Linked DNA regions of Coturnix japonica. The protein of the gene in region 1 purifies or fractionates together with the protein of each later gene. This does not show direct contact. Links are inferred from orthologs where the notes say so. Each region holds a gene or a part of one and is shown on either strand. Other genes may lie near its edges.

Region 1 (4,133 bases):
CGTCCCCATTGACCTCAATTTTACTGAACATATCGAACTTCACCCCGTAACCCTCCGCAAAGGCTTTGATCTGTGCATCATCCCCAGGCTCCTGGGGGGGGGGAAAAACAGGTATCACACGTGTAAACCCCACACAACCCCATATCTTTGCATTGAGGTGCCCACCTGCTTCCCAAACTGGTTACATGGGAAGGCCAATATGCGCAGCCCTTTCTCAGCGTATCGTGCGTGCAGGTCGACAAGCTGAGTGTAATTCACTGCAGTCTTTCCTCATTTGGAAGCCACGTTGGTGATGATGCAGACGAAACCCCTGGAGGGGTAAAATAGGGGGTAAAAGGAACCTCTGTGGGGGTAAATGGGGTAAAATAGGGGGTAAAAGGAACCTCTGTGGGGGTAAATGGGGTAAAATAGGGGGTAAAAGAAACCTCTGTGGGGGTAAATGGGGTAGAATAGGGGGTAAAAGGAACCTCTGTGGGGGTAAATGGGGTAAAAGGAATCTCTGTGGGGGTAATATGGGGAAAATAGGGGGTAAAGGGGGTGAAATAGGGGGTAAAAGGAACCTCTGTGGGGGTAAAAGGGGTAATATGGGGTAAAATATGGGGTAATATGGGGTAAAATAGGGGGTAAAAGGGGTGAAATAGGGGGTAAAAATGGGGTAAAATGGGGTAAAATAGGGGGTAAAAGGAACCTCTGCGGGGGTAAAATGGGGGGGGGGGTATATAATACAGCCCATTGCTGTGTTGCTGTATGGTACATATAATGTCTCTATAATGTCTATATAATGTCTATATAATATATATATCTAATAGACCTGTATTGCTCCAAGGCCACGTCTCGGCCGTCGATATCCGTGGCGTGGAAGTCATAGATGGAGGTGGCCGATCGCCATTCATCCGCCTGCGCGCACTGCGGGGCCCAGCGGTCACAAAGCGGCTCCGAACCCCCCCAACCCCCCCAGTACCGACCCGGTTCGGTTCGGTTCGGTTCTGTTCTGTCCCCCCCCACTCACCATTGTCCGCCCCGCTCCTCTCGCCGCCGCCGCCCCGCACAGCAGCGCCCGCCCGCAACGCCACCCCCACCCCATCCCGCCACCGCTCTCCCCCCCTTTGACCAATCAGCGATTAGGACGCGCGAAGGCACCGCCCACTTCTTGCAGTTGCGCAATGCGAGCCGCTCCCTTGGGTGATAGACAGGCGAAACCACCAATCAAATCAGCGAGGCTGCTGCAGTGTCAACAAGGGGGTGGTGTCCTTCCGCCATTCCACCCCGCCTACATCTCCCAGCGTTCCCCGCGGTCAAGGACCCCTCGCAGGGCAGCCCCGCCTGCTCGTTGTGGACAGGCATTGAGGCGGGCAGCCTCGTGGGGTCCTTCAGGAGGCAACATGGACGACGAGGAGGAGACGTACCGGCTGTGGAAGATCCGCAAGACCATCATGCAGGTGCGGGCCGGCCCGGTTCGGTTCGGTTCGATTCGGTCCGGTTTCAGGTCTCATATGTTGTATTTCCCTTTAGCTGTGCCATGACCGCGGTTACCTGGTGACTCAGGACGAGTTGGATCAGACGTTGGAGGAGTTTAAAGCTCAGTTCGGGGATAAACCCAGCGAAGGCCGCCCGCGCCGAACGGACCTGACCGTGTTGGTGGCACATAACGATGATCCCACGGACCAGATGTTCGTGTTCTTCCCCGGTGAGAAACGGGGCCGGGTCGGAACCGGGTCAGAAACGGGCTGGGACCGGGTTGGGACTGGGTTAGAACTGGGTTAGGACCAGGTTAGGACCGGGTTGGGACTGGGCTGGGTCTGGGTTAGAACCGGGCTGGGACCGGGTTTGGACCAGGTTGGGACCAGCTTAGAACCGGGCTGGAACCAGGTTAGAACTGGGTTGGGACTGGGCTGGGACCGGCTTAGAACCAGGTTGGAACCGGGTTAGGATCAGGTTAGAATTGGGTTAGAACCGGGCTGGGACCGGGTCAGAACGAGGTTGGGACCGGGTTAGGACTGGGTTAGAACTGGGCTGGGACCGCGTTAGGACCAGGTAGGGACCGGGTTAGAACCGGGCTGGGACCGGGTTAGAACTGGGTTAGAACCAGGTTAGGACCGGGCTGGGACCGGGTTAGAACCGGGTTGGGACTGGGTTAGAACCGGGCTGGGACCAGGTTTGGACCAGGTTGGGACCAGCTTAGAACCGGGCTGGGACCGGGTTAGGACCGGGCTGGAACCGGGTTAGAACTGGGTTGGGACTGGGCTGGGACTGGCTTAGAACCGAGCTGGGACCGGGTTAGTACTGGGCTGGGACCAGGTTAGAACTGGGCTGGGGTCAGGTTGGGGTCTGGTGGTGCTCCTGGTTCAATCTCACCCTGCTCTTTTCCTCCCTCAGAGGAACCCAAAGTCGGCATTAAAACCATCAAGATGTATTGCCAGCGCATGCAGGAGGAGAACATCACGCGGGCTCTGATCGTGGTGCAGCAGGGAATGACCCCATCGGCAAAGCAGGTACAGTGTGATGTGGCCCCGGGGCTCTTTGAGCTGTGCTGGGTCCATAAAGGCAGAGTTCAGGCTCTGTGCCTTAATACTGGGCTTATACATTGAGTGCACTGAGCTGGTGCTGGTTGGGCACAGAGATCTGTTTCCTCTCTGCCCATATGACCATATCAATGTGAGCACAGACACCGTGTTGCCCTCCTGCTGCTGTTCATCTTGGGGCATCTCTGAGCTCACACTGTCTCATATCAGTGCTACAACCTGATGTGCTTCTCCCTTCCCAGTCCTTGGTCGATATGGCTCCCAAATACATCCTGGAGCAGTTCTTACAGCAGGAGCTCCTGATCAACATCACAGAACACGAGGTGAGTGATTCAGGCCGGCCCTCCCAGCCCTGCCCTGTGCTGGGTTTCCCCACCAGAGCTTTGTTCCTCCCCCCAAGTCTTGCAGCTATGCAGAGCTGGTTGCTTTCTCAGACTCTTATGATCTCTCTTTCTCTCTCCTGTTTACAGCTGGTCCCAGAGCACGTTGTCATGACAAAAGAAGAAGTAACCGAGCTGCTGGCCAGATAGTATCCTTTGTTTGGTCCTTCCCTTGCAGTCAGGGTGTGATGAGTGCTTGTCTTGGGCAAGAAATGGATTCCTTTGAGTGTGTGATGTTCTGTTAGCTGTGCCCTGCCTCAGGACAAGCAGACACAGAGCTCCTCCTTGACTCCATGCAGTAAGCTGAGGGAGAACCAACTCCCCAGGATCCAGGCTGGGGATCCTGTGGCCCGATACTTCGGGATAAAGCGAGGCCAGGTAAGAGCAAATAGCCTGATAACAAACAGCAGGGCCCTGCAGGCAGGATGGGGAGCTGCAGCACAGTGTGTCAGAGCTTGGAGATGGGAAAGGTTTCCTCTTTGTTAGTGTTTTTGTTTCTGAACGTTATGGGTTATGTAGAGATGTGTGCAAGGCAGCAGATAGCCCTGGGGCCAGGCTTGGCTTCCTGCTGAACCAGCTGCTGTAACACCAGCCATCCCCCATTGCTCCTTTTGCTGCCCTTCCAGGTGGTGAAGATCATAAGACCGAGTGAGACCGCAGGCCGTTACATCACCTACAGGCTGGTGCAGTGATCAGAGCTCTCAGGTAATGTGTGAGATCCCCATCTACGGGCAGTGCTTTAAACTTATGCTGTGGTTTTCTAGGGGTGACTTGAAGTGAGTTGGCTCTGGGAAAGGATTCCCTCCTGATTTGCGAAGGGAACTGTATGGGATGGATCAGAGCAAAGCTATACTAGGGTTTGGTGCCTCAGTATCACAGCTGAAGGCACATCTCAATGTTCAGAGCAGCAGCAGGGCTTTGCTTTGAGAGCAGCTGCTGAGGGAGACATGAGCTCATTCACGTCCTGACTTATTTCTTCCAGTTGTGAAAGAATTCTGTGACATCTGATCTTCCCACCCACCACCAGCTCTCAGCTGTCTGCATTCGATGGCTGAGGAAGTTCTCTGTCCCTGCTGCCCCCCTGCAGTTGTTTTCCTTGTCCCAGTTCCTCATTTCCCAGCACGGATTTTGCTGCAAATCCTTCTGCTTCAATCAGGAACGCCATGAAAACACCTCGAAGCAACTGAATGACACAGGGAAGAAATGAGCAGGAAGAGGCTTTTGCTGCCCT
Region 2 (3,567 bases), on another chromosome or scaffold:
GCAAACCAAAAGTATGGGAAATGTTTAAGATATTTTTTCAGAGAATACACAATGCAGTGCAGGATTTCTGCAGTGCAATATGCAGAGTAATTCTGCAGAATTGTTGCTTTTCTTGTTTTCATAATTCTTATCTCTTAGAAATCATATTCAAATTCAGGCATTATCTTTTTAATTCCGTTGTAAAATGCTTTCATTACATCACATGCTAAAACATGATGATTCTTATGATCCATTGCAGGAGATTAGGTTGGAAGCAAGCAGAAGATATTTTAAAATCATTCCAAAAGAAACTGAACCGATTCAACTTCTTCCTGGCTAATGTAGGCTTGTGCAAGTGGTACTTTGACGGAAATTTTTAGACAGTTGTGTTGATGTCTGTCACAAGGGGGAGCCCATTTTCCATGGATTCACCCAAGAATTTGAGTTATGTCATTAAGGGGCTAGAACTCAGGTATTTCAGATAAGATGCATGTAGCACTATCACTGCTTTACTAGGCTGCCTTGGTGCTTGGAGTGTTTGGCAGATGCTTCAAATCAGTAATCTGTATCTATTTTGTTGAGTGTAACATCTGTAACTATTTTGTTGAAATAAGAGCAGAACACTGAGCTACTTTAACACTGGCTATTCTGTTCCAGGTCGATCATACTGTGTATGCTCTCCAAGAATGCTGAATCAGTGTCTTGAATCATTGGTGCAAAAAGTGCAAAGTGGAGTGGTAATAAATTTTGAAAAAGCTGGACCAGATCCCTCGCCAATTGATGGTACTTGATGCCTTTTATACTTTGATATCTGATGACAGTGATGATATCAGTATAGTTCAGTGAAATTAACATAAGAATTGCAAAAACCAAAGGAAAACTCATGCAATTTAAAATAGTAGATATGACTCTGCTGTTCTGAATTCTCATTCTAAATGAGATATGAAGGTTAACTGGGAATAGTGATAGGAGGACAAAGGCAGTCAAATGGTTATGAAGAGCTCCCAGTAGTTCTCTCAACTGTGGTTCTGTAAACACTCAATGCTCACTTGTTTTTTCATTGTTTCTACTTTTTTGCATGAGTGTTTGTTGAAAATATCAGCTGAAGGAGTATAGTCCCTGGGAACATAGGTCTTAAGCTCATCACAGAAGCTGCTAAATTTTTGAGTTTTAATGCTATTTTGTTTTATAAAGCATTTTTCCTTTCTAGATGGACAGATGGATATAAGTAGGCCCTTTGGACCCCAGCCTTGGCACAGCTGTCACAAACTCATTTATGTCAGACCAAACCCTAAAACTGGGGTTCCTATAGGTCATTGGCCTGTTCCTGAATCTTTTTGGCCAGATCAGAATTCGCCAACTCTGGTAAGTACTGAAGTTAGATAAAACAAAAGGGGGAGTATTCCTGAATTTCTTGTCTAATTATTTTTTAAGTCTTGAGAGATGTGCTTTATTTGAGCTATTGTAGATGCTCTGTGAACTAAGGAACATCACATGAAAATCCCTATTGCTGTTATTAGATAATTTGTTCATGAAAAAAAAAAACCCATGGTATTCACTTTGAAGCATTAAGAAAGTGACTGTAGCAGATAAGTCAACCTAGTCTATGCTCTCTTAAAGTACCACGCCAGAAATAAGATGGCACTTAGTCTGGTAATGGACTACTAAATTTTATTACCTAACAGATGATGTTAATAGAAAGGTGTATGATCTTACCAGTTCTGTATCCTTGAGATAGTGCTGTTTGCACTGTAGCTGGTGAATGCAATTTCATCTACTGTTAGGTGTAACTGTGCTTTTAGCTTATCCTAAGTAGAGAAACTTGTCTTTTTTAAAGGGTCTGTCTACAAAATTAGTTTTCCTTGTCCTTGTTTTTATAAATAATATATGCCAGTGCCTTTTGTATGGTAAGAAAACTAGTCTTCAGTATAAAATATTTATTTCTACTTATCTTTGAAAATCATTAAAGTGAAACTTGTGCAATTGTATAATTCTTCCCTGTCTTTCATGATGATTTTTGTTGATTTTTGATACCGAAGTAGCTTGACTAGATCATTGAGCTGCTCAGGAAAATTGTTTGCAAAATTTAGTCTGGAATACAGGGTGTTGCAGAGTGATGCAAGTATGAAATCTTAGTGAAGTTTGTAGATGTGGTATTGCTGGGATCTGCCTCATTCCATGAACAATAAAGCAAGCTAACATAATAAATCTTGTGGTTGTTTAAAAAGCAAAGAGCCAGTGCACTGGATATTGAAAAAACTGCTCTGTGGGAAAGCTGCCCTGTGTACTTCTTGTAATCACTATCAGTGGTGTATCTGCTTCCTTTTACTGTGAAAAATTTTGACGATTTGATGCTACTGCAGATTTTGATTGATATTGCTAAAATAGGTCTTGCCAAGTGAAGAACTGTGGTTCCAAATCACTGAAAACTTGAAGCTAAATGGCAAGAAGATGTGAGAAAATACTTTGCTCACTTGTAGCACGTATACCTCTCTCATAACTGCACAAAACATTGGATTACTGCACCTGCAGCTAAATTCCTGTAGGCATCAATTGGAATTCCCAATTGAACCTTCCCTATGCAATGAGAGGGAGCTACATATGCTTATAGTGTTTCAAAATTTGTATTTCCTGACTTTTATGTCTACGTAGTGCCAGAACTTAACATCCTGTTTACTTGAGGATTTGTAGTTACATCTTTTTTTTTGCCCCTGATCCACTGTGGATTTATCTGATGTAGCCCTACCTCAAAACTGTTTCATGTAATGTAGATGGTACAATCAAGGCATTCTTAAATGTATGTGAAATTCTGCTTATGATTCTGTTGATACATCAACGTGTTAATGGCTGCTCTCACTGCTCTGAGGTAAAAAATAGTTTTGCTGTCCAGTCAGAACTTATTGGACTACTCAAGTCTTAGCATTCAACTTCTTTTGCAGCCTTTTTATTCTTAGTATAACTGCTTCATGGCTTGGTCAGAAACTCCGCCACAACTATTTATTGGAGGCATCTTCTTTCAAGAGAATTGCAGTTCCTTCAATTGAGTGGGCCTCCTGTTTTGTGTGCACTTGGACAGTACACCTTCCTCAGAGTGGAGATACTCAAGGCAAGACCAGCTCTGTGGACAGATAACATTTGGCTGGCTCATCCTAAAAGGAAGAGACTAAAGTTTATAAACTTGTAGGAAAAATTACTTTCAAGGTGAGGTGGTAGGAAGGTCCAAGAAACCATGTATTTCCATAGCTCATCTTACGTATTTATTAGTTGACTTCTTGTAAAGGGACTAAATGGAAGGAGACTTCCCAGGTGTGATCTTCCTCAGATTCTAGTAGCCTTGGAGGAGGTTATAGGTAAGTATAAAAGCTTTAGTTCCTCTCCTGAAGGTCCTTCAAAGTAAGGCATATGGTTCCAACTTTTTTCACGTTTGCCACCTCCTTATTCAGCAAAAGAAATGTCAAACATTATCAACTCATATCTGAAACTTGAGATTGAAAGGTGTTTTCCATGTAATTAATAAAAAGATTACAGTTAAATTGCCCAAACTGAAAGTTTTCACAATTGCAGTTGAAATGTGAGTTGCTGTAGACT
Region 3 (3,567 bases), on another chromosome or scaffold:
TTTACGATATTACTGAAAGAAAGGTATGGTAACAAGCTGTTTTTAGAATGTATTTAATATTGTCTCCACATCACAAATGCATTTTGTAACAGCATTCATATAATGGACTGAATCACAACTAATGCATGTGTATCTCATGAAAATCATTTTCATAAAGTAAGTAGTGTGTTTCCATCTCCAAAATGTTAAGAGTCATATTGAAAACTAAAAAAAAAAAAAGTTCTGCTGACCCTGAATGTTATTGCATGTCTTTTAAACTGTATGGCCATTTTACAGGGTTCAGAATTGCTCTTCGAGTGTTTTGGTGCTTTATTTGGTTTTTTTTAGTTATTACTACTGAAGATGTCTTTAATCATATTTTCCATCGTTTATTTCCAGTGCTTTTGCAGCAATTTTTGCTACAAAGCATCTAAATATTTTGAAGCTCAAATTTCCAAGAGTCCAGTATGGATGCGAGAAGAAGAAATGTAAGTGTGACCTTATGTATTTGTGGCTCATTTCAAGGATACTGTTTTCTTAGTCCAAGCTGCAACGCAAATTAATTAGTTGCAGTACATCCAAATGGTCAGGCTGAAGCAGAGACAAGTGATGTTAAGTTAGTGTGTTGTTCATGTTAAGTGTTGCTGCCACATGGATTACTGTAATTGATGCAGCCCAGTTCTGGTAATGACTACTCAACAGACTTGACTGTGTTAGTTTAGAGGGCAAACTAGTCTTAAATAATAATGAGTTCCTATTAATTTTAAAATGTATTTATTGTGATTGGATTTTTACAAGCCATGTAAGATAAAGGAATAATCCATCTTACCTTGCAAGAGGTTTTCAGAGGTTAGCCTGAAAGTCTGCAAAATGAAGTTCCTTATTCCACATAAAACTGCTATTTTAGGTTGCCTATTTTCTGTTACTACTGCAACACATTTTGTAAGGGTTACATAGTCTGTGCTTTAATATATTAAAAAAAATTAGGAAACATAGGTGTGCAAACAAAGAATTGAGCCACTGGGTGTCACTGCTCAACAATAAATACTTGCCTAGAGAAGGTTCAGCTCATTCCATTTTCATTGTCCAAGCAAGTACCCTTGCTTTCAACAGAATAAACAATCTGAATTTATATGTGTGAGCTCAGTTTCATGGTAGGAGGATTTATATGAAACACAGGTCAGTGAGAGGAGAGGCTTTAAGCAGCCTGATCTGAGGAATTAGGTAAAACTGTAAAATATTTAAATAAGCTTATCTGCGTATTCATGGTATTGTTTTGCTCTCTCTAAAGAAACTATTTCTAACATCTCTGTTGTTACCATAAAAAGCGGAGTTCTGATGTTTGACATAGTTAATTATCCATGCTGGGATGGGCATATTTTCCAAAACAAACCAACAAACATAATAAAGTAATATCAGATTGCATAAACATTATATATGCACACACTGATACACATTTACACGTGAAAATACCTGAAATTCTCTTGATGGAGAAAGCTAAAAACCTCCATTTAAAACTTTAAAGAGTAATTATTTGGAATTAATAGTTTCACTGTCTTACCACCTTTACTTTCCAGACTCAGTTCATTTATATGAAAAATGCAACTTTCATCCTTTTACATCTGCTATGTTGGTTTTTTTATATATATACTGTCCAAGTTTAAGGAGTTATTTCATTGACTTACATTCAGGGCATGCTTAAAAGGTTCTCTGTCATTCGTAAGGCAGGTATGGATTTCAATAGCCAGTGTTGAATAAACTAATTAGCATTGTGATGTTACCTTATAACTGAAATGAAGCAGAACTGCAGCTAGAAATTTGGGAAGAAATCCTTCAGAATCTGTTCAGTAACAGTTCTTAGTGTTTATGGAAACCTTCAGATTCCATTTTCTTAGCCCACTATAACTTAAGAGTCTATTTTTTTTAAACAAGTAACATCTCAAATGAAGATATCCTGAATATTCCTATTTCCTATAACAATTTGGAGCATTTTTTCTGCAAACTACTGAAGATTGTTTTTCCTATAGAGACCTTGTGAGCTATGAGGATCTGAGCATGTTTAGTTCGAGGAAGAGGAAACCAAGGGATGATCTAAAAAGTCTACACTTATTGAAAAAAATTACCTAGGCTACAGACCCAAACTGTTCTTGGTTTCTATCAAAAAACTTAATGAGTTTGTACTTTAAATATGTTGGCCATAAATTATGGTATCAGTGGTTTACATTAACACTGGGGAAAAAGGTGTGCTCTAAGAGAGCAGTGGAACAAATCAGTGCATGCGGAAAGGTTCTGAAATCTCAATCCTCAAGATTTAAACATAAAGAAGGTGTGGCTGATCTAATCTACTGCTGGTAACAGTCTCACTGTCTCAGTAGGTCAGATTGGAGCCCTCCAGAGGTCCTTTCTAACTAACATTTATATGATTTGATAAGTTATTAAATGTATAATGCTACAGGCCCGCACAAATTATGCTCTGAATGTGAATGTATGAACCTGCTCCAGCTAACCCTGCTTTGAACAAAGGATGTTGGACTAAGATCATTAGAGGTTCTTTCCAGCCCCAACTATGTGTTTTCTGTGTTTGTGCATTTCAAGGGTACTGATTTAGCAGAAAAAAAAAGTCATCATTCCTTATGTTCTTTTTGCAGACCATCAGACATAGAGCTGCTGAAGAAGGGGCAGAGGTACATTGAATAATAATTTGTTATATGCATTTATAGTTAGAAATATTAACATTATATTGGGGAAAGGGCAAATCTTTGAAAAGACTTTATTAGACAAAGGGTTATTTGTCTTATTTCTTTTCCTTTGTGATTCTAAACTAGCGTGTTTGACCTGTATGATTTAGTGTACAGCTGCTCTTGGCCTATGTGTCATAATTGATCCTGCTGAAATCTGAAACAAATACACTGTTTGTACTTTAAATATTTTATACCATCTATTCTTTATGAAGAAAGTGTACCAATTATAGGTGATGAAAACTTCTGCACTTCCTATTCTAAAACACCAATATCAGCTCAATTGAATTCACGTTACTCTGTCATCTCTCTGTACCTTGCCGCATATGGCGACTTTGTTTTCTTTTGGAACATCCAGCCATTAGATGGCAAACTTAAATATGCCAAAAACAAGCTCTACTGGCCTACTGATTTACAGTTACTACGTGTATGTGTATATTGAGATACTGATCTATATTTTAAAATGGAAATAGTTTAAAATTCTTCATACTAAATTGGAACTTAAGTCTGTCTTTAGTAACAACTTGTTTACTATTCTAACTGCCACTAAGCATCTGGGAACAAATTTCTCTAAATAGCATTTAAACTTGCCATCTTAATTGCAAAACATTAGAACTCTGAGTTTAAAGATGATTTCTAGAGCAAAAAAAAAAAAAAAAAAGTATACACTTTCTATACAGGAACAAGGTTCCATTTCTCTTTCTTTTATATAATAATTTTCTAATCTCACGTAACATCCATTTCATACTTCATTGATGGCTTGTGTTTTGTGTTACAGTGGCCAATCTGGAGAAGAAGTGAAAATATGTGATGAAGTAGTTAAAGCTTCTGACATTGAAAATCCTAAGGT

Evidence for each region.
Region 2: the proteins of POLR2E (region 1) and INTS6 purify together in Homo sapiens (affinity purification with mass spectrometry; 3 studies listed by BioGRID and IntAct, with this or other methods). This does not show direct contact. The link is inferred for Coturnix japonica from reciprocal best matches to the Homo sapiens genes POLR2E and INTS6.
Region 3: the proteins of POLR2E (region 1) and RPAP2 purify together in Homo sapiens (affinity purification with mass spectrometry; 4 studies listed by BioGRID and IntAct, counting the BioPlex papers as one, with this or other methods). This does not show direct contact. The link is inferred for Coturnix japonica from reciprocal best matches to the Homo sapiens genes POLR2E and RPAP2.

The regions. Positions count from the first base shown.
Region 1 is NC_029543.1:2,009,000-2,013,132, reverse strand, and holds the start of POLR2E (DNA-directed RNA polymerases I, II, and III subunit RPABC1), read left to right. Parts: upstream 1-1,303; 5' UTR 1,304-1,382; coding exon 1,383-1,439; intron 1,440-1,512; coding exon 1,513-1,687; intron 1,688-2,376; coding exon 2,377-2,492; intron 2,493-2,764; coding exon 2,765-2,845; intron 2,846-2,992; coding exon 2,993-3,051; intron 3,052-3,201; coding exon 3,202-3,280; exon of another isoform or gene 3,281-3,528; coding exon 3,529-3,594; 3' UTR 3,595-3,607; intron 3,608-3,884; 3' UTR 3,885-4,133. UniProt on the Homo sapiens protein: DNA-dependent RNA polymerase catalyzes the transcription of DNA into RNA using the four ribonucleoside triphosphates as substrates.
Region 2 is NC_029516.1:152,151,171-152,154,737, reverse strand, and holds part of INTS6 (integrator complex subunit 6), read left to right. Parts: intron 1-636; coding exon 637-762; intron 763-1,189; coding exon 1,190-1,344; intron 1,345-3,567. UniProt on the Homo sapiens protein: Component of the integrator complex, a multiprotein complex that terminates RNA polymerase II (Pol II) transcription in the promoter-proximal region of genes.
Region 3 is NC_029523.1:12,306,879-12,310,445, reverse strand, and holds part of RPAP2 (putative RNA polymerase II subunit B1 CTD phosphatase RPAP2), read left to right. Parts: coding exon 1-23; intron 24-378; coding exon 379-467; intron 468-2,627; coding exon 2,628-2,663; intron 2,664-3,495; coding exon 3,496-3,567.